4 linked regions of the Drosophila melanogaster genome follow. The protein of the gene in region 4 interacts with the protein of the main gene of each other region in a pairwise test. Each region holds a gene or a part of one and is shown on either strand. Other genes may lie near its edges.

What was found.
Region 1: the proteins of bip1 (region 4) and Crk interact in a two-hybrid assay, tested with the Drosophila melanogaster proteins (one large-scale study listed by BioGRID).
Region 2: the proteins of bip1 (region 4) and CG17612 interact in a two-hybrid assay, tested with the Drosophila melanogaster proteins (one large-scale study listed by BioGRID).
Region 3: the proteins of bip1 (region 4) and CG6654 interact in a two-hybrid assay, tested with the Drosophila melanogaster proteins (one large-scale study listed by BioGRID).

The regions. Positions count from the first base shown.
Region 1 is NC_004353.4:208,064-213,994, forward strand, and holds Crk (Crk oncogene), read left to right. Parts: upstream 1-2,160; 5' UTR 2,161-2,299; exon of another isoform or gene 2,300-2,374; 5' UTR 2,375-2,391; coding exon 2,392-2,423; intron 2,424-2,494; coding exon 2,495-2,617; intron 2,618-3,526; coding exon 3,527-3,731; intron 3,732-3,790; coding exon 3,791-3,919; intron 3,920-4,051; coding exon of another isoform or gene 4,052-4,117; exon of another isoform or gene 4,118-4,211; intron 4,212-4,564; coding exon 4,565-4,666; intron 4,667-4,727; coding exon 4,728-4,952; 3' UTR 4,953-5,102; downstream 5,103-5,931. UniProt on the Drosophila melanogaster protein: Adapter protein which interacts with C-terminal portion of mbc, homolog of human DOCK180. May play a role in cellular processes throughout development.
Region 2 is NT_033779.5:4,380,165-4,384,569, reverse strand, and holds CG17612 (uncharacterized protein), read left to right. Parts: upstream 1-1,834; 5' UTR 1,835-1,873; intron 1,874-1,908; exon of another isoform or gene 1,909-1,926; 5' UTR 1,927-1,930; coding exon 1,931-3,787; 3' UTR 3,788-3,848; downstream 3,849-4,405. Other genes in the region: Vps53 (vacuolar protein sorting 53), read left to right, coding at 1-485, 548-1,433.
Region 3 is NT_033777.3:15,210,432-15,215,715, reverse strand, and holds CG6654 (uncharacterized protein), read left to right. Parts: upstream 1-2,057; 5' UTR 2,058-2,130; coding exon 2,131-2,250; intron 2,251-2,315; coding exon 2,316-3,453; intron 3,454-3,508; coding exon 3,509-4,170; 3' UTR 4,171-4,439; downstream 4,440-5,284. Other genes in the region: SIDL (shal interactor of Di-Leucine motif), read left to right, coding at 35-377, 626-855; CG4210 (uncharacterized protein), read right to left, coding at 969-1,290, 1,351-1,426, 1,495-1,546, 1,609-1,683; Mau2 sister chromatid cohesion factor, read right to left, coding at 4,460-4,940, 4,999-5,284.
Region 4 is NT_037436.4:8,053,437-8,060,639, reverse strand, and holds bip1 (bip1), read left to right. Parts: upstream 1-1,926; 5' UTR 1,927-2,179; intron 2,180-2,546; exon of another isoform or gene 2,547-2,593; coding exon 2,594-2,760; exon of another isoform or gene 2,761-3,139; intron 3,140-4,264; exon of another isoform or gene 4,265-4,331; intron 4,332-4,431; exon of another isoform or gene 4,432-4,466; coding exon 4,467-4,764; exon of another isoform or gene 4,765-4,839; intron 4,840-5,200; coding exon 5,201-5,995; 3' UTR 5,996-6,307; downstream 6,308-7,203.

The sequences.
Region 1 (5,931 bases), on a different chromosome or scaffold from region 4:
ATAAGGCAATTGTTGAGTGCTTGTGTCCGCACTTCGTGCCTCAAGATATGAACAAAGCAAAGACACTAGAATAATTCTATTGTCTTTGATATTACTTTTGCAATTTAATTTAATTGCATATTTAATTATTTAGTATATTTATTAAATCATTTGACTTAATATGATGTAACATTAACATTAAAAGTGTTTCAAAAAAAATATTTCGCTTTTAAAAAATTGTCAGATGAGAGACAAATTAGAATTAAACATAAATATAAATGTGTAAACGGTAGCTAATTCGAGCGGCGATTTTAACAAACAAATTTAAAAAGCTTTAAAATTATAATATTCAGGGCGCGAATTTTTAAAAATTTTTTTATTTTATCATATTGCTAGGAAATTGGCAAAAACTACCCTAATATGTACCATGTAAATTCGTTTCTTCGATCAGAATTGATTTCGGCCCGAAAATCGTCTTCTAGCACAACACGCACACTTATACGCGTTCTCGTCTCTTGTTTTTACTCACACAAGCAAGCAAATTATATTTTTAGATTTCTTACGCTCTCAGCGGGAGTGAGCCGAAAGAGAGTAATTTTGGCCGTCACCAAAAAAGTGGCTGCATAGTGCCAAACCAATGTATGGCCGTTACGCATCTTGTTATTCTAGTGTCTTTGGTTTGGCACTATGCAGCCACTTTTTTGGTGACGGCCAAAATTGCTCTCTGTCCGCTAGCTTACGCTGAGAGCGTAAGAAATCTTAAAATAGAACTTGCTTGCTTGAGTAAGTAAAAACAAGAGACGAGAACGCGTATATGTGTGCGTGTTGTTCTAGAAGACGATTTCGGGCCGAAATCAATTCTGACCGAAGAAACGAGTTTACATATTTGATGAAATTGCGCGCTGTTAAAAATATCAAATTGAAATATAACAAAAAAAAAAAAAAAAAAAAAAACTGGAACTGAAAAACAACTAAATCTAATGTGCATTTTAAATAACAAAAATTTTACATACATCATATTAAGTCAAATGACTTGAGAAATATACTAAATATATACGGAAATTATTATAACAACTTTAATTTAAAACATACATTTTCCAAAAAGAAGACATTACATTGAGAAATAAATATTTCATAAAAATAATACGAAGTAGAAAACAAAAATATATAAAAATAAAAAAAATATGTAAACTGTTTATTGCAAAAGTCATATCATAGACACTAGAATTATTCTAGTGTCTTTGCTTTGGTCATATCTTGAGCATGCAAAGGAATGGCTATTACAATATAATTTGATTAGTATGCTACGCAAACCTCTAGCATTTTGATAGGAAAAAGATTCGGACAAAGATTCGTTGTCAGTTTTTTGAAGAAGATGAAGAGGCGGATGGTGCAGTGGTCTGGCCATGTGAGGAAAGTTTATTTCCCACGGGCCCCTTTTTCCTATTTTTGATCCTAGCTTCAAAATCTTATATATCTTATGTCCATAGCGTAAGATAAGTTAAATTTTTCCACTTTTATATTACTTTTATATTATCGACTTTTGTTTTGTCTTGCATATAAGACCATACATCAGATGATTTTTGATCAGGTGAAAACCGAGAAACGAAAGTTTGTTTCTTAAGTGGAATCACCGCGAGTGGTTTTGGCCCTGCAGATTGTATTTCTGAAGTGCCAACTTGTGCCGGGAGTCCGGACTCAATGTTCCCTTGTGGTGGTAAACTAATCGGGACAGGTAGAATCACTGGTTAAGAAACCAGTGCAGACAATTCGGAATCTTTAGCAATCCCAGGGTGGGCTCCCTCCACAGCGGATTGATCGGATTGCTCCAAATCTTATTTAGCTGCCGATCTTAGCAACATATGCGGATTTTCTACGATTGACAGCTGATCAGTTGTGGAGTCAAAATAACATGTCAACCAGATATATTCGTATTCCTAATATTCCTGTAAATATCCTTGAATTGAACAGAAGAACAAATATATCGGTTTTACTTAAAAATTAGAATATCAAATTGATATGCATTGATCACGGTTTTACATTTAGATTTTAAAAGCTGACAGTACGTCCTAAAGGGGTTTACCACCACAGAGCAGTTGCTCGAAGGAGTTCTTTTCAATCGAATGTGCCCTGTGCAAGTGCCGCATTACGGTTCTACGGTACAATATTGGCATAAAACTTCCAAGTGGAAATAATCGATCAAACATTATCGATAGTGTTTCTATGTGTGGCCCAGCCAGATACACATATAAAAGGCAAATGTTTTAAGGCCAGAAATTCGAAAATGAAATCACTGAAGAATTCTGGTATATAATAGGCTGTATGCTATATTTGCATTATATCACATAATTTCTATTTATTTAATCTGGACGGAATTTGTTGTAATTTGTCTAAGATAAACCTTAAACGGAAATGGATACATTTGACGTTTCTGATAGGAACAGGTAATTTAAGATCAAGTGAAGATTAAACCAAAAACTATCAATTGTTTTAACATCAAAATGTGTTCTTAAAGCTGGTACTTTGGTCCCATGTCTAGACAGGATGCTACTGAAGTTTTGATGAACGAACGCGAGCGGGGAGTGTTTTTAGTCCGTGATAGTAACTCGATAGCAGGGGATTATGTACTTTGTGTAAGGTAAGTAAACAAAATTAATACATTCAGACTTTGATTGTGTACTTATCGTTTCATTTCTGTTAGCTAATTTTTATTTTAAAAATTAAACTAAAAATTGTGTATAGTGAGAAATACTTAATGTCAGCCTTTCTTAATCGCAGCTTACCATAAAGGTTTATATAGAAATTCCTGTTTCCATTTTAAGCATGTATACGTGTTTTATAGATGTACTTTAAACATTTATCTGTAATTTTTAAATATAAACAAATTTCTTACATTAAAAAAGGATATTCTTTTTAATAGACCTGGGTGAAAAAAGTAATAAGAAAGAGAAATCTAAAAATTTTTATCAATTTTGTGTGTTTCAGTTTTGGGAAACCTTAAAAATTGTGTTTGTTTTATTATTTCTTTCCCAGAAAATTTTTGAAATTTCTCTTTCCCATTCAACTAGCTGAGTAACGGGTTCTCTCTTGTTTTGTTTGATATTTAGATCCAATGGCAAGGGTCTATGGTCAATTTTGTATTTCTTTAATTTAGTATGGAATGTACCTTTAAGGACGATGATAAAATGTCAATGATGATCTCTCATAGCCATTGCAATTTAGTATGTTTTTAATATGTGCGCCATGTATTGACGGGGTAAATAAATTGAAGAATTTAACGACGTAAACAAAAATAATTACGAATTAAAGGAACTCAATTTCTACTGTATGTCTCGCCACGCGGCATTTATTAAAGAATTAGATGAATAAACGTCTCAAGAATATTCTTTTTGATTTTAAAAGTTCTTTATTAATATAAATGTATATACATTAGAATATTAAAAATAGGTTTTCATATTTAAACTTGAAACAAATTTTTGTTTAGTTTTTAAGGATTTTGCGCCTGTTATAAAAGAATTGTTTACTTATAAAGATTTTTATTATTTAGAGAAGATACAAAAGTTAGCAACTACATCATTAACAAAGTTCAACAACAGGATCAAATCGTTTACCGCATTGGGGATCAGTCTTTTGACAATCTACCGAAACTCTTAACTTTTTACACTCTTCATTATTTGGATACAACCCCTTTAAAACGGCCTGCGTGTAGAAGGGTGGAAAAAGTAATAGGAAAGTTCGATTTCGTTGGCAGCGTGAGCATTTACACAATTATTCATTTTTGTAAGTAATTTAATTTTCTTATTTATCAAAGGATCAAGATGATTTACCTTTTCAAAGAGGTGAAGTTTTAACAATAGTTCGAAAAGACGAGGATCAATGGTGGACTGCGCGTAACTCCTCGGGGAAAATTGGTCAAATACCGGTTCCCTATATACAACAGGTGCGTTAAGCAAATATTTGGATTTGTTATCCTTTTTTGTAACGGGTAACCCGTTTTTAATTTCTTTGTTTCCTTATAACGCTGATGTTAAAATACTACACTTGAAATGAATGGTGAATTCGGTAAAACCAGTCGCGTCAATTTTTATGGAATGCAAATAAAACTTTCGATACGGCGACACTAACGCTAGGATATTAATAATGTAAAATCAGAAAGAAACCCGAAAACTAGTGAGACGTATAAGGGTCAATAATGTCAAAGAGTCGCCAGAAGTAAATATGTAAAAATATATGTATGTATGTAAAAAATGTAAATTGAGCTCTTTTCCCCACGCCTATTTTATGACTAGCGGGTATCTGATAGCCGAGAAACTTGTTCAGAAATAATTATTGAGTTCATGTAATAATACCCTTAAATTGTTGCGATTAGATTCTTTAAAGTCTGACTACAATCTCAATACATTATAAAATCCATTACAAAAACCATTTGCATTGAATTAAACTGACAATGGACAAGCTCCATTGCCTTCAATATATTCGTCCGCTTAAATAGAGAAGGCCAAATTGCGAACGACCTTTGATAAATAAGTTTGTTAAAGGCATTGATTTTTAAAAGTTAAATCATTTTCAAATTTGTTCTTTTCAGTATGACGATTATATGGATGAAGATGCTATTGATAAAAACGAACCTTCCATTTCGGGATCTAGCAATGTATTTGAAAGTACTCTTAAAAGGACAGATTTAAATGTAAGTGTTCCAAAAAAGTATTTAAAAAAAAAATAATGTTTTACATTTTAATTTATCGAAGCGAAAACTACCTGCATACGCCCGCGTAAAACAGTCAAGGGTCCCTAACGCATACGATAAGACTGCATTAAAATTGGAAATAGGTGACATTATTAAAGTCACTAAAACAAACATTAATGGGCAATGGGAGGGAGAATTAAATGGAAAAAATGGTCATTTTCCCTTCACGCACGTTGAATTTGTCGATGATTGTGATTTAAGCAAAAACTCCACAGAAATATGCTAAATAGGAAGGAATGGAAGGAATTTCTTTTGATAATTTTGATTTTTGAGCTAATTGTATGATTAATAAGTTGTGCATACCAATTGTTAACATAATCAGAAAATTAAAATCTTATTAAGTAAAATAAAAATAAACGGGTACGAAGGACATAATAAAATTTTTACCGTTTTTTCGTATGATTCTTATACAAAAAAATTATGAATTTGAAAATCGATTTGGTTTTTTTTATGAATTGTGTAACTAAACGGTAGGTGCTACAGAAAACCCTTTGGGCCTTATATTTTTTATACCCGTTACTCGTAGAGTAAAAGGGAATACTACAATAGGTTCGTTGAAAAGTATGTAACAGGTGGAAGAAAGCGCTTCTGACCATATAAAGGCTGTTCAATATACAAAGACCCCAAAAGCCGGATACATCTCCGAGTAACGCCAGAACGCCAGAAGTTTTTTTATCACCCGCAAAGAGGTCCTTATTTGGCCCTTCGACCACCTTCCAAAATTTGATATTTCCAAACGTCCATAATTCGAGGCTAACAGAACCTACCTCTAAGGCACCAACTCTACAAGCTGCCCAAACTAATTTGACGTCGAATCCTTAATCACCGACGCATCACCAACGCAGTATTAAAACTATGACATATACTTTGCAGCATCATATGATTTCATTCATGTCGTTCGTGTGGATTATCACGCAAGACCTATCTTCCTGGAACGTTAAAATAATGTGTATCTTTAGATCAATAGTTAGTTAGTGCTTCTCCTGATACCACGTTCCGAGAGCACCTAGAGTACGCCCACAAAAAGGCCAGCGCTACTACTGGTTCTCTGCCGAGAATGCTTCTAAACACGAGAGGTCCTAAGCAAACCACTAGCTACCACGTTGATAACGGGCGACAAAGCATTTTTGGGCGGCTGAAGGGCGTTAGAGTGGCCGTGGCAAAAAGTTTTTTGGGAAATCGATAGAAAATTACAAGACTAATCA
Region 2 (4,405 bases), on a different chromosome or scaffold from region 4:
TCTCGGGAACCATACAAGTTCGCCGAGGCCAAGACCACCGTGTACCCCAGCTCTGGTGATCTATTCGTCTTTTACAAGAAGTGCATGGTGCAGTGCAACCAGCTAAGCAACGAACAACCAATGTACGATCTGGCTTTGGTGTTTAAAAAATATCTACGGGAGTACGCCTCCAAAGTGCTCGAGGGCAGCACACCCAAGCTTGTGCCAGCCACCACTAGCAGCTCGATCGGTAAAAGTGTTTCGTTACTCACGCGCGATATGCAGAATCTATCAACGGCCGCTGGTCAGGTGTTTCACAATTTCCTCAAAGAGGGCGATACGCAGCGATTTGCAAGAGATGATCTGGTGCGCATTTGTTGCGTTCTGACCACGGGTGAGTACTGTTTGGAGACGGTCCAACAGCTGGAGGATAAACTGAAGGAAAAGGTGACTTCTGCATATGTCAGCAAGATTGACATGAGCGAGGAAAAGGATGTCTTTCATAGGTGAGTAAAAATTTTTGCTATCAAATAATCAAATAGTTTATTAATATTTGTAACTTTTCTAGAATCATTTCCAACTGCATCCAACTTTTGGTCCAAGATCTAGAGGCTGGCTGCGAAGCTTCGCTGCAGGCGATGGCCAAGGTGCAGTGGCAACACATTAACAACGTGGGCGACCAGAGCGCCTTCATCAGCAGCCTGTGCGGTAACTTTAAGCAGACAGTGCCTACCATCAGGGACACGCTAGCCAGTTCGCGGAAGTATTTCACCCAGTTCTGCCATCGCTTCGTCGCCGCCTTCATACCGAAGTTCATCAATGTGCTCTATCGCTGCAAACTAACCCTCTCGGATGGTTCCAACAATGTTCTGGGCTGCGAGCAACTCTTGTTGGACACCCATTCGCTAAAGACGGCTTTATTAGAGCTACCTTCCGTGGGATCGAGTGTGAACCGCAAGGCGCCCACCAGTTACACCAAAGTTGTGGTCAAGGACATGACTCGGGCCGAGATGATCATCAAGGTGGTGATGACGCCGGTACAGCCGCCGGCGCACTTCACTCAGCAAGTGCTTAAGCTGCTGCCAGACATTACCATTGCGGAGTACCAAAAGATTCTGGATATGAAGGCGGTCAAACGTGTGGATCAACTGCAACTGATTGATCTTTTCAAGCACACGGCATCTGCAGCGGCTGTGAGTGGCTTAATAGAGCCAACTACTGGAGAGGAGGAGACCCAAGGTGCAGAAACAGTAGTCGCAACTTCGGGGACCACAGACGATGCTGAAACCTCAGCAGTACCAACTGAAACAACAACGGCAACTTCCTCAACCCCCAAACGAGCCTTTATCTTCAGCGTGGGCAGCTTTACGGGAAGCGCAGATAAAAATGCCGATGGAAGTTCCCAGACGGGCATCAGAAAGCTGGAAAACCTACTGAAAAAGCGCTTCCCCTAGTTAATATACGGCTACATCTTGAGAAATCATTCCACTAAGTTAGCTTTAGTTTGACAATATCGGTTAATGATTAGTTGCTTAATTTATTAGGTCTATCCGGTTTATATGGTTGGTATGTTTTAAGACAGCTATGGAACATTCGATTTTGTATTATTCGCAATCCATCCGCCTATTTTAAATATTTTTTATTAAATGTCTGGCTTCTGTTAAACAAAATGGAAAACGTTTGTTTTTGTTTGCTATGGAAAGCACCTGGTATTTATTGCAAAGATAAAGTAAATACGTACATACATGAATTTGTAAAATTTGTTTCGTAAAGGGTATATTTTAGTTATAACAGTCGATTACAGCGTTTGATATCGATAAGCGCTCGATAACAATACGCTGAAAACAGGGTTGCCCGTTGTTGATAGCCCTGAAAATTGTAAACAAACGACTAGGTAAGCCACAAAAATCATTTTAACCAACGTTTTATACGATTAAATGATTCCAGGGCGATGGAGAACGTGTGTCAGTGCTGCAAGGTACGACCGGGCTTGTCGGTCAAACGCGGTGGCTCGCTTCCGAAAACCCTTTGCCTGCAGTGCCTGCATATGGACACATTTGGCACCAAGCATAAGGGACCAAGGCCCGAAACCCAAATTAACGACAAGGTTCACTTAGAAATGTCCATAAACGGCGAAGACGGCCTGCCGGAGCATCCTTTATATCCAGAAGTGCAACTGGTAGTTAAGGAGGAGGACGCTCTAATTAAGAAGAAGGTTATCGAGGAAAACCACATACATAATGAGGAGATCATAGGAGCGAGCAACATAGTAGACGTAGAGGTTCATGAGAATCATCGCGCAAATAACGACGTGATCCTCATACAGGATTCCTTCGCTGAGGAGGTAATTCTTGAGGATCATCCCGCAAATAACGACGTGATCATCATACAGGATTCCGTCGCTGAGGAGGAGCTCCCCGTAATTAAGGAGGAGGCTATTGAAGGGGAGGACTTGCAGGGAGAATACTTTATAATAACAGAATGTCTGGAAGAGCCAGCAATCGGAAGCTGTCGCGTTTGCTTGGAACAGTCTGACAACTTAACCAATATATTTGATGACGCGCATCAGTACGGAATTCCGATTGCCACGATACTCTCTCAGTACACAGGAATGCCAGTTGAGAAAGGCGATTCATTTTCTGAATATATCTGTGTAACTTGTCTGGATGTTGTGAAAAATGCATTCGATGATTTAGAGTCTAAAGAAAATACTATCCAGATGTACCGACAACCTAAAGAGGAGATCATTGACATAGATTCAATTCCAGTAAAAAACAAGCCAGTTGATTATGAAGTTACTGGGAAGCCACCTCACAGATGCCCTCAGTGCCCAAAGATATTCTTACTCGCCGCCAAACTTCAAGCTCACATTCGGACTCATAATGAAACGCGTACCACCGAGCCTCCACGGCTGAAATGTCCCATGTGTCCAAGTATATATATGAAACGCGGATGTCTTGAAGCCCATATGTGGATTCATAGGGCCTCTGATGAAAGAGAATCAGAGTTGGAGCCTCCGTACAGGTGCCCTCACTGTCCAAAACTGTTCCTTTACTCCAGCTTTCTTGAAATTCACATTCAGACACATGAGGATGTCTCTCAGAGACTGTCTCGGAAGTCATCGCACAAGTGCGCGCAGTGTGCAGATGTATTCTCAGACGTGTCCAGCCTTAAAGACCACGTAAAAATCCACGCGGGGGAACGAACGTTCAAATGTCCCCTCTGCCTGATGTCCTTTCAAGAAGAAAGTAACCTAAAGAGTCACGATTGTGCTCACACTCGTTTCAAGTGCCACAAGTGTTCCAAGTTTTTCGAAAGTCAGAATTATCTAGATTTTCACTTCAAGAAAAGTCACACGACGAAAGGTCCGTTCAAGTGCATAAAGTGCCAGCAAACTTTTCAAAAAAGAAACGGTCTTAAAGAACACATCAGTTCGCAGGTTTGCGTACAATTTCTCCGGAGTAAGTCTCCTGGACAAATATTCCCTTGTCCCAAATGCCCGAAAAAATTTAGCATAGAAGACAATTATCAAATGCACCACGCCACTCACAAGAAAGTAAAGACTGTTATCGAGAGGCACAACTGTACACAGTGCAAAAAGTCCTATCAAAATAAAAAACTTCTTACCAAGCACATTTTGAGTCACAACCGGTGTGTCCACTGCTCGATGTCCTTTACGAGCAAATATCTTCTGGAGCAGCACACTTGTTCCCAGAGTTACCAATTAAATGGGAGCAGGGGTCGCAAAAATCCTAATTTGAACTACAACGAATGCGAGGAGTCCAACGAAAGTGATTTGGAACCATAGCATAAATATTATAATATCTATATAAGAAAACCCCCACAAGCAAATAAACAGAACCAGTTTGAATTTGTATTTTGTTACTTCATTTATTGTATGTTTGACTTCTTAGCTTTTAAACATAAACTTATTTGACTATGTTGAAAGTTGGATTCTCATGTTTATGTTCGCGTTCATGGTACTAATGACTTATGCGTTCGCTTAGGCAACTAACTACGTGCTACAACTTAAACTAGGTTTGCGGTCGCTGCGGCTGCTCCGAATTTAACACTATTTACATGCAACTTATGGTCTAAGTGATTTTGAGCGTATGGTCTAGTTTGAAGATCTTTTGAAAGTGATCGCATCGCGCGCAATAATACAAATCTCTAAACAAAAGACTTAAGACACAAACTTAGGCGTACTTTAATGGATGAATTGTATGAGCTCTCAATGTATTTCTATGCGTAATTATGCTTTGGTTTAATTCCAGCACTGCAAAAACCTAAACAAATCGAATATGACTATGACGCAGTGGCCCAGCGGACGGCATTCCAAGGCCAGTTAGCGCCTGCCGGCCAACATCGCCCGAAGCTGCCGCTGAGACTGAACAGGCTAGACTACGCTAGGCTAGAGGGGATTTAC
Region 3 (5,284 bases), on a different chromosome or scaffold from region 4:
CTAAAATTGCTGATCTCCTGAGCTCGTCTTCTAGGAAATCTACAAATCCCTGACTGTAACTTATCTGTACGAGATTCAAGTTGAGCCCCTCAAAACGGAGCACGAGCTGCCCGTCGTAAAAGTGCATTTTGTAATCAAATACGCATCACTGTCGCAGCCTGATGTGTGGAGAACGTATGGCTGCGCTTTTGATCTGGTGGACTACACAACGCTCTTTAAGTTGCAGGCGCAGCTGGAACCCAATGAACTGTGCCGTCTGCGCACCGTGTGCAACATGAACTTGAAGATCACCAAGGTGCATGAGAATCCCTACACGGATCTCATGTACGAGGTGCTCAACGATCAGAATCTGTGGGCCGTTTGCGGTCGCTCAGCGGGTAAGTTGGATTCTCTTTACTACTCTCTCTCTTTCTTTGCTTATGATTTAATTCTGTTTCTCTACACACGATTCACTTTTGCATTTTAAGATATGGGTAAGTTCCTTGGAATAGGACACACGTAGCACTAACTAGATTTGCCCTTGCTTTTGATTGGAAACATTTAACACTGAAAAAGAAAATTGGCTTACTTCGATGAACCAACAGTCTGTACTTGTTGACTAACTAATTTTTACTTAACCTTTTAGGTGTCGTATCCATGAAGGACGTCGACAGTCATTCCATATCGCTGGATGTAATGCCGCTGAGCACCGGCTTTCTACCAATGCCCAGCATTCGATTATCCAAGTATACTGCCGGTGGCAAAAGTAAAACCGATGGCCACTCCAAGGTGCATCCCTTTCCGCCCGGTCAAGTCTACAACTCCACGAAGAGCATGCAGATCCATGTCATCGCAAGTGTGGCGGGGGATCAATGAGAAGCCAAACGAATTAATTGCAATGTACTCATAGCACATATGGCCCATGGCCAAGTATTATTAATTATTTATCGCCCTACTATAAAGTAGTAAAAATTGAAAATCAAATCAAGTTAAGATTTTTTTGCCCTCAGATCCGCGGCCAATTTGGCCAGTTGTTGCTCCTCCACGCGGTAGTAGTGCCAGCCCTCTTTATCTGTCAAATCCACGGCACCAAGACTTTCGTAGAACTTGCGTGCAGGATTCCATTCCAGTACATTAAACTCCAGGCGAGGGCACTGAAGCTCTACAGCCCGCGATGCAACCTCCAAGAAGATTCGCTTTCCGGCGCCGCGTTTACGGTGCTCGGGGCGGACATAGATGTCCTCGACGAAGAAGTACCGTCCCTGCCACGTTGAGTATGCCTTGTAGCAAATGGAGTACCCAATCGCCTGACTAGAATAGGAGAACAAGCCCACAAGTTAATCAGGTCATGCCAAGAACTACAGCACTTACTCAGTATCGTTGTCTACAAGCACATAGACTTCACAATACTCCTGGCCACCAGTGAGTCCTGCGTCTCGTTTAAGATCTGTCATATTACAATCCATTACTTTACCATTATTTCATTACTATGGTAAGGGTTTCGCCATCTCTTACCTTCCTCTGTTAGCTGGGGACCATTGCTCATCTTCTCAAAGTCAGCCAGTTCCTGCAGATCAATTCAAAAGTATCTCAAATTGGTATTAAAATAGGAATCTTATAAAACTCAACTTGAATCATGGAGAGCACATCTTTAATATCTTCAGCTAGAGCACGCCGGAATGTAAACTCTCCGGATTTCGACATAGTGGGAAATCTTTATAACCTGTGTTTTTCTGATTATGGTCAAAAGAGCTTATCTTTTGTCGAAACAATTCTAATCTATAGAGATGAGCCGAACTCTCGTGATCACAATTTAATATAACTCAATATCGATTGGGAAAAGAATTATTTGTTGTTAATAAGTAAAAAAATTAGATGAAACAAGAATAAGCCCAGATTCTTGTATATATACGATTCACATTTGAAATAATTTTATTTCAATGCACTTATCGCCATAAAATTAGATTATTTAATACTCTTCTTTACTCATTAGAATTATTTTTTGAATTGCGCGAAGGCCGCCAACAGCATTAAAGGTGTGACCAGGTGCACTTGAAATGCATCGGTATATTCAGCGTAACAAACTTCAGCCATACTGCATTTATTTAATTGTTTTATTTTGTTTCTGCATTTGACCGATTGCGTCGCGAAATGGATGTGGACAAGATCTGTCTTACCTGCCTGAGTTCCACGGGACCACTCCTGTCCATCTACGACGGCGGATCCGGCAGCTGCCTGGCGGACATGATCCGGGAGTTCACAAAAACCAAGGTGAGTTGCCTTCGCCGAGTGATCCTGATTTCCATGTTAATCTCGATTTAATTCGCGTTTTCAAGCCCCGCCGCAACGATAATCTGCCCGAGAAGGTGTGCCTAAGCTGTTTGAGTGAAATCTCCAATTGCTATACCTTCAAGATCAAGTGCGAGAACTCCAGTCGCACCCTGCGCCAATTGCTGCCGAATGCGTTGCCGGAGGAGCCCGATAGCAAGGTGTCTATCAGTTGTCCAGTGGCCACGACGGACCAGGCTGTGCAGACCACTAGCTGGGAGCCGGACAGATGCACAGCCTCCGTGCAAACGGACGCAGTGACTACCACAGACGCCGAACAGAATACCAGCCTGATTAAGTCAACGATTTCAGTGGACCTGGACTACGAAGGCGAGGGCGAGGTATTCGATTACGAGCTGCCGGATGAGCCCGTCGAAAAGACCACCAGCCTCATCCTGCAGGTCCAGGGGAACTTGAAGGACGAAAAGGAAGTTGTGTTTACCCAAACCAATGTTATTTACGAAGGCGACGACCACGAGCTGGAACAGCAGATCAGGGAATGTAACCTGGCCATCTTCGAAGGTGTCGATAACGAGGCGGAGATCATCACAGTAACCGCTCCGCAGGTAACCACCAGAAAGAGCGCTGCCAAGCTTCTAACGCAGCAGGAAAACGATAAGCATCAGACTCCTGTGGGTTCTAAGGAGGAAGCACGCGAATTAGAGAAGGAACAAGTACCTCAGTCGGCTAAGCGCACCTCACGGCGTCGCGGAGTTGTCAAGCAGGATGTACCGGCTACACCGCCGTCAGATGCAGAGCCTTCCCCCAAACAGCATCGGTTAGGAACACAGCGAAAACTCAGCGCGCCAAGAGCGGGAACAGTAAACGGGCCAAGCACAACGTCAGGAGCAGCTACTACCCCTGAGCTCAAATATCACTGTGATCGTTGCAATGCGGGATTCGCGGTGGAGAAATCGTTGATGATCCACAGACGCCAAAAGGGCTGCATTAATCGCAACTACAAGTGCAATGAGTGCGAAAAGGTCTTCGTGTCGCCGGATCACTTGGCGGAACACCAGGCCAGTCATGGTGCCCACAATTGCCCGGAGTGTGGAATACGCTGTGATTCCAAGGAGGCACTTAGCAAGCACATGGTGCAGGGCCACAAGCGGAATCTGCGGAATCAGTGCAATATCTGTCAGAAAGGTAAGATAACAAAGAGTGGTCGAAAATCCTATTTAATTGTCTCTTAATATTGTAGTATTCACCATGCTGTCCACGCTGCGTGACCACATGCGCATCCACACCGGCGAGAAACCCTTTGTGTGCAATATCTGTGGCAAGAGCTTTACACAGAATGCCAATCTGCGCCAGCACAAGCTGCGTCACTCGGAGACAAAGAGTTTCAAGTGCGAGCTGTGCCCGCACTCGTTTGTTACCAAGGCGGAACTCACCTCTCATGCACGCACCCACACCGGCGACAAGCCCTTCGAGTGTGAGGTGTGCTTGGCCAGATTCACCACTAGTTGCTCCCTGGCCAAGCACAAACGAAAGCACACTGGCGAACGGCCATACGCCTGCGATCTCTGCCCCATGAGATTCACTGCCCTCAATGTGCTAAAGAACCACCGAAGGACGCACACAGGTGAGCGGCCGTACGTCTGTCCCTTCTGCTCGAAGACCTTTACGCAGCGGGGTGACTGCCAGATGCACCAGCGTACACATCAGGGCGAGCGGATCTACATTTGTCCGGTGTGCAATGAGGAGTTCAAGTCGATGCCCGAGATGCGATCACATCTGGCCGGCCACGAGCAGCACGACAAACGCCTGGTGCACTTCACATTTCTAAGCAACAAGGAAAACGGAAGCGGGGCCCTTGAAGAGGAACTTAACGAGATGACCGAGTCTGCGCTTATGCTATAAATCAATGTAGAAGCTGTGCAAGCAAGGCGGCTTTTGTAAAGGTGGTTGAGTTTGCCTAATACCCAAGACGGATCCTTACTTTTAATTGTAATAATGATTATAATCCTAAGTTGAACGACCCAACTCAAATGCGCACAACTCATCCGCTTTACATTTCCGTCTACTCTTTCCCTCGGGAACACAGTTTATGACAAAATTCACAACTTTAGAACATCTTTAGTCTTAACTTAGTCGCTAGGTCGTAGATAAAAATAAAAGCTTAAAGTTACATTGCATAATCATCTCATTGCTAGTAGAACTGACCGTATTGCCCCGCCGGCTGCATGGCTGTCGATGTGGAGGCGATGACGGGGACTGAGGCTGTAACGGAGGACTCTGGCATGAGCAGGACGGGAGCAGCCGGCGGACCACTCGTCACTGGCGGATCGCCCTGGAACCAGTTGACGAGTTCGTGATGCGCACTTTGGACGCACTTGCGCTGGTCTGCAATCAGGTTCTCCGAGTATTTAACGTGGTTAGCATAAGCATCTTTTTCATGCTGCACATCCTTTGACATACGATGCAGGTCCTTTAGTATTGCCGATCCCCACAGCTGGACGTGGATGTCGGGTATCTTACTGGCCAGTTGCATGGCCGGCGTCACCATGTTCATGCTTTCCTTTGAGTTTCCGATGCTGAGAAAGACGTGCGATAGCAAAACCAACGAGCAGCTGGTCAGTCGGTTGAGGTCTTCGGCGTTGGCCATTTTCAGAGTTTCACGCAGAAAGCGTCTGAAAAGAATAAAGATTATCAGTTTACATTCTAGAGTCTTGGCTTAAGGTGACTAACTTCGCCTCGTGGAAGCTATTTTTGTGAAAAGCATGCAGTCCCTGGACGTAGTAGAAGCCTCCCATCAGCGCTTGACTGCTATACGTGTGCGTGTTTTCCGTTGAGACGGCATCCAGGATTTGCTTGAGGTCCGTGTCCCGCTTGGTGCGCAGATAAATGATCGCCAGGTTGAGGTTGGCAAACAGTTTCAGGTCTCGCTCGCTGGTCTCACTCACGCACACGACGAACTGCCTCTCCGCATGCTCAAAGAGGTTGGTGGACATGGAGTAGAGCCCGATGAGGCAGT
Region 4 (7,203 bases):
AGCTACAAAAATAAAAATTTCTAAAATCCAAAGTATTTTACAATTATTAAATCAAGAATATACTCTCTCTTGACCAAACTGGAAATTGGCACTCGTTAGTTTAACAGTCAGGATGGCCGAGTGGTCTAAGGCGCTGCGTTCAGGTCGCAGTCTACTCTGTAGGCGTGGGTTCGAATCCCACTTCTGACAATACTCTTTTATTCTATTTTCCACAATTTTTTTCTAATACCAATTAAACTATTTTTACTTGTGCTAAACACACACTTCTTTTCAGTTTTGAGAATGAACCGTTTCAGTATGTGGTCCCCAACCAAAAGAAAATTTGATCTTACGGCTCTTGAGAGTCAGGATGGCCGAGTGGTCTAAGGCGCTGCGTTCAGGTCGCAGTCTACTCTGTAGGCGTGGGTTCGAATCCCACTTCTGACAAAGATTTTTTGTCCAATTTCATTCAGCAAAACGATTAATTTTTCCAACTAAAACTTTTTTTGCCCCTCACAATGATCACCATTTGTTTGGAGCATACATTAGATTGCTTTAACGAGCCAGCTTCCCTCTCAGGGGCGCCAGAAAAATTACAAGTAAATCAATTTGTAACCGCCTAATTGTCAATATTCCAATCACATAATCGGCTGCCAGTTAACGATTGCCCCCGGCTGTCGGGCAGACCGACAGATACAGCGAGACCACACAGGCGATGATCAAGCCTGGCCCCCTTGGGAATTATCGCCGTCTGGCATCGCCTGCAAACACTTCTACTTCTACATTCATCGCCAGCTCGAGTCATTCGGCTCAATCAGACAGAAATTAAAATGCTGACTGAGCGCGTTTTCGAATGCGGCCCACTCAGTAGTTTGTGTTTTCACAATTGTTCTTGGGAAAAAACAGTGCAGGTCCATCCGTAATTATGCTGCTGTTTGTCGGTCGTAAAACGCAATCAACTGGCCACGACAATTGACAATTTGGCTAGTGTAAAACTAGCCATTAAAGTTTTATTTGCTTTAGCACTTGAGAAATTGAGGCTGGCCTGGCCATAACAGGCGAATGGGTCAATTGGCATGTGACAGCAAGAAGCTGCAAGCTGCAGGCTGCAATTTCCACAGACAATGCAAATTGACGTCTTGGAAATATGAGTGATGTGACAAGTGGATGCTTATCTGCGGCTCGACGCCCCTGTTTTTTTTCGAGGGGCTTGCCTCCTTCGTCTGATGAGCGCCCATTGAAATTTATGACTTCGTCGAACCGCCAATTGATTGGCTTTTAAATATCCAAATGAAGGCTGCCAATCGCGAATTGTGCGGCCGTAATTAATGTACAAAAATCATTTGAACGCACGCCCCAAAGCAACACCTGCAGCTGTTGGTATCTTTATTTATGGAAAGCTTTTAACACTTTTAATTAATTATGGGATGGAAAAGTTGGCGGCTTAGCTATGTTGCAAATTTATGACACTACAAATTGATAATTGATAAGCAAAAATGCTATCTAAATGCTAATTTCTCGAAAAGCATATAAAACTAGAGTTAAGTGGTATTTAAGTATTGCAATGTACAATTAATATATTATATACAATCAACTACAAGGTGCGTAATTGAAAGGTGCGCAGACATCATATTATTAAGTAGTAGTTGAAGTATTATTTTCTTCGATTTGATACATATTCATTGCGCAGTACTTTATTCTTTAAAACACTATTATTTTAAATATGACTCATTAAAATAATAAATCATAAAAGAAATACCTATTTTTTAATGTCCTTCAATGGTAGTTTTTACTGTGCGCGATTGAAATCTCAGCCTGATTCCGAATTTGTCAGAGCTTTCCGGCGAAGATCTCGCACGCATGGGCACAAAGCTCGACAAAGCTGGAGAGACGCTCTCCAAACCGAGCTTCGCGCGGTGCCTTCGCGTGACGCAGGCGGAGCTTTCGACAGTCTGCTCCCACGAGTGACGTAGCGCAGTATAGAATGCAGAACGTAACAGAATCGTAATCGGAGCCGCATAGCATACCGCTAATTAGAAGATAGATGCCCTTTTCATTTAATCGTATCTAGCTGCGATCGCTTAAACCGGCGCCAATTGTATTCAAAGTTCCGTAACCGAAAGCTTTCACCTAGAGTTCTTGCCGTGGGGTTATTAAACTCAGAACTGCCGGTCAGAGAAAAGGAGACTTTGTGTGACAGGTGAGTTCATTATGTACATATGTATCTGTTTTCCTAAGATAAGCATAGGTAAATAATGGCGATGTGGGGTACATATGTTTATATTTAATTTCAAAGTATTTTGTAAAAGGTAAGACCACGCGGCTTTGAAAGGCAAGCACAAGTTATCCAAAAAAGCTTTTCCGTGGATGTGCATCTTATTGGTGCTTTTCTACGTGCAGCAAAGCAAGCTTTTATTCGCCAGAGCGAAAGTTCTTGGGGTCACTCTAGGTTTTCTTTTATTCCAAGAAAGAAAATAAGAAAATAAATAAGATATATGTATGTACTTATTTTAATGGTTTTCTAAACTAGAGCTTATTAATAAAATGATAAAAGAAGCAATAACCTTAAATTAAAATGAGTGATTTTATCCAATTTTAAAATAATATTTGATAGATGACGAATACGATAACCACTCTTCGGATTTGCCAGGCTGTGTCGCTAAATCCTAGCGCGAATGGGCCGGAACCAGTATTGCCACCTTCCTCCAGGATTTGTCTGATGGGTTGCCAGGATGTAAAGCCCAATGATCTGCGTCGTTTTCCAGTCCACGATACCGATCGGTGAGTATTATACACATACATACATACATATGTAGGTTCCTCCTGCCAAGAACCACATTAAACCTGTTTTTAGAGCCTACGGAGAGCTTTCCGATCGATTCGATCACCGAAGCTTGTTTTTGTTGCGAATCACAAGTGCTCATTCTATATTTTAAACACCATACCATTAAAGCCATAACAATCCAAAGCTTTGGACCCCGCTCGGTGCTCCTCTTCTTCGTCTGATACCGATACCGATACTCGCAGTCAAAGGTCATTGAACTTTCGCCCTCCCTCTCTTTCTCTGTCTCTGTCTCTCTGTTTTTTTCTCGGTTCGCATAAAAGTGCATCATTTTCATAGGAATATTTCAATGCCATGGCGGCTAAGAACTTGTGCAGTGCAGCAATCAGAAATGCAATAATGCCGATGTGGGCGGGGCAGTGGGTGGGCGGGGGATAGGTCCCAGATTCCGACTCCCATTTATTTATAGCTCTCACGCTCTCCTGTAAATGCAACAAATGCGCGTGGGGCTCTGCTCTGCTGGCCGTGAAGTGAAGTTATTTTGTGTTTCTTTGCTGCTTCTTCATCTCCAGTTTCTGCAGTTGGTGCGCAAAAAAAAAAAATAGAGTTCCGTCTGCCAAAGTTACTTGGCATTGGCCATGGAGTTTAGAGTGGACCACTGTTAAGCGAATTCTTCCTCTTTCCGAGGAAACCCCAGAATGTTAAGCTTTATTTATTATCAAGGAAAGCTCATATTTTACCTTTCGTCGGTATTATCACTAAATGTACTTTGAGACCAAAAAAGTGAAAGTCACTTTTATAAGCAAAATCGAAATAAGAATGACGTTTGCTAAGTTTAATTATAATAGTTGGTTATCTAACTGTAGTCATTGAGTTCCGTTTAAAAATTTTCAAGATATAGTATGAAATTTTAAAGTGAATTATGACAATAATTTTAATTTCACACAGTTGTACGTTGGTTTTGTAAGTTAAGCATAAACCATTCTTATGAAAATGGTTTCAAGCGATTAAAATTTATTTAAAACTTGGCTAGTAAGTCAGATTAAATATGGTATGAGTAGGCAAATGATTTTGCTGTCCCTGACCTGCACAATAATTTCGCATTCGGTCCACCCTAAAGGCCTTAATTGTTGTTGTTGTTTCGCCTAGCCATAAGCATAAGGCAAAAAGAAAATAAGCCTCATTCCCCCATCTTCCACAAATCGGCAGAAACAACAAAAATAGGGGGAAGTTGAGCAGAAGCTGCAGCAAAAGCAACAGCAACAACAAACAATAACAATTCCCCGCGAAACTTCCGCTGAGCGAGAAGGAGCGTACGAAAGCGTTGCTTCTCGTTCGCACTCGCAAAAGAAGCATAAAAAGAGCTTAATTGCAGCGAAAACTTTTTCAAGAACTTTTCCAAGAGAGAGCGATAAAGAGAGCGGAGAGCGAAAGTCGGATCTAATTTGAAAGCGTCGCAAGAACCAGAACGAAACTCCAATGCAGTTTCATTTTGTCAGTTTAATCATTAAACAAAGAACTGCGCAACCGATCGCAACTAGCTCGTGGACTCTTGTTCTCCCAATAATTGGTATGTTTTCCATTTTGCGTTAACATGGAAAATGTGTGAAAAGCTTTTTCCCCCTCCAAAAGAAGCGTACTGAACTAAGCTTTCGGTGGTTAGTAATAGTAGTCGTTATATCTTATTTTTCTTATTTACGTGCAGCTGCAATCATTGGCTGCGTCACTTTGGCGTCAGCTATAAACTGGTGGATCAACTCGGCGGCCTCCAAAAGCTGCGCATCTGCTCCAGACACTTTAGCCAACGCCAGGAGATGGCCAAAACCCGCATCAAGATGACGCCGCTGCGCAAGTCCTCGTCCTCCAAGGGCATTGTGCTACCCATTAATGCCGCTGGAGGGTCGGTCATTGCAGGCGCCTTAGCAGGAGGAGGAGGTGCAGGAACTGGGAGCGGTGCTGTCAAGTCGGCGGTGGCCAGCAGCACCACCATTGAACTTGTTGAGGTGAGTGGCAGCACAAAAGAAAACAAAAGTTCAGCTTTCATAGGGGTTGGTAATTGACCCAAGCTAAATTTCAGTTCAGACAGAAATTATGTTTTAGACTCCGTAACGCAATTTTCGTTGTTTATTAACCAATTGAAATAAATCGTATAGGTATTTGAGCATTAAATGGTATTCCAAAAACGGGCATGCTATTAGAGTTAGTTTAACAACAATACAAGCATGTCTTAAAAAAATACGTACAAAGCTATTTATTCCGTAAAAGTTTAATTTTTTATAACGAATAGCGACAGATCCTGAACTTTTAAAATTTCAGAGAACCCTTCAACGTTCTTTCTCTTTAAATTTCATATTTTAAAGATATGGTTAAAACTGCTTGTATGCATATATAAATATATACCACTATAAATGTATTTTAATGAACCGCATTTTTTTGCAGAGCCCCAATAGACATCAGGCCAAGAAGCCCAACACCGGCATTATGCCCATGCCACAGCGTTCCCACTCCATTAGCTCCTCGGCCTCCAGCGATGTGCTGTCCATAAACTCCGACTACGAAGCCTCGTTACCACTATCAGCCTTAGAGGATTCCCAGAATGGACTGAACCGCTTGGAGAACGGTCAAGCCAAGAAGAGGAAACTGTACGTGATCACCGAAAAATCGGATGAGACGAAAGGTCAGACTCTGGAGACAAATGGACAGCCCAAGAAGCGTAAGATGTTCGTGGTTGTGGAGCAGGATAAAGATGTGGCGGGCAAGAAACTAATGATTATGGCCGACAAGCCGCAGACCAATCTTACCCAGCATTTGGAGAAACTACTGCCCGAGCTATTGAATCGCATACAGGACAAAGAACAGAAGCAGATCAAACCAGCTCCAGTGGTGACTAAAGCCAAGCCGGTGGTTAACAATCCCAGACCACATATAACATTGCCGCCCAAAAAGAATCCAACTAATTTTGCAAAGATCACGTCCACACCAAGCTCAGTGCCTTCATCCATTCAGATGCCACTGCCAATTCAGAATACCAAGATCCTAAAGTCCGAGAATTCGGAACTGACAATGAATTCGGATGAGATCGAGACGAACATAAATCTATCGCCCGACTTCCGCTTCCTAATGAAAATCCTACCCAAATTGGAACAGCTGCCCGAGCCCCACAAGCAGAACGTGAAGCGTTCCATCCAGATCTTCGTGGAGAAGAGCTACAGTATTTACGGCAACAAGGATTAGTTATCAGTATTTTCGGGCACAGCGTTTATTTTCCATTTCATGTGAAGCAGTTCCCTTTATTTTCGTACATACACATACATACATCAAAGGCATTTCATAACTTTGTGTAAGACTGAAGCAGAACCAATTTAATTTCTAAGCCAATTGTAAGAGCTGAAGCAGCTCCCCATTTAGACATGTAAGCTTATCAGAAATTTGATATTACCCACCTGGAGATGGGTAGATTTTGTAAAAGTTGAGCCATAAAAACGAATTAAGATTGAATTTCTTTCTATATTGAATATATGAAAGCTTGATTTAAGCCAGAAAGATAAACCGTCTAAGAGTCTTATTTTTGGGATAAGAAGGTATATAACGAGGGGATATTACCACGACCCACAATTAATAACACTAGTGTTTTTTTCTTATCTTTTTGGTTTTTTTTTTTTGCATTGTAATTCCAAAGAACTTTATTTAGTTTGAAAGCATTTGTTTACGGTTTCTCTTCTTCCATATTTCTTTCTTTTTTTTTTTTAGTTACGTTATAATAATATTTAGTAAGTCTAATGCGGTTTTATTTAGTGTGGTTTAGTTTAGTTAATACAATGGTTAGTGTGTCTTTACGATTTCCATGTAAATTATGCAGCTTCACTTCGTCCTGGAGAAAGGATTGCATTTGGTAATTTACAATTCTTGCCGGCCCATTTACCACTACACGTGTATGTTTTGGGTCTCAGTTTCGTTTTAAGTTAGTATATCCGATTAATGTGGTTAATACATTACATATATACAGTTAAACACTTCATGTTTAATTTAGCTTGCGGGTCAAGGAAACCAAATTATGTGTAAAGTATTAGGGAACTTTGTTGCGTGCCTTTACTGGATGAGGATTTCTACATGATTGGAGTGACTCCATTTCGAGTGCTACATTATAATCGAGTAATATATACTTTTTACAACATTTAGCAAATTTTCCCGTACACATACAATAACTCGTATATCATATTTTTGCGTTAAGCATTTGCCATCGATTTTTTTTTAGAGGGTATAGGGTGTGTTTTATATGGTTTTAAATCGTGTTTGTTAACTACGTTTTGGAGTGTCCTACATTATAGCGTTTGCCTTTTTGTCGGTTAGCGTATCGAGTGTTTTTACATGCTACTTATAAGAAAAAATATTTGCCTTAATGTTGTCCTACGAAACAGTTATGTCATCATCATCATCAATGA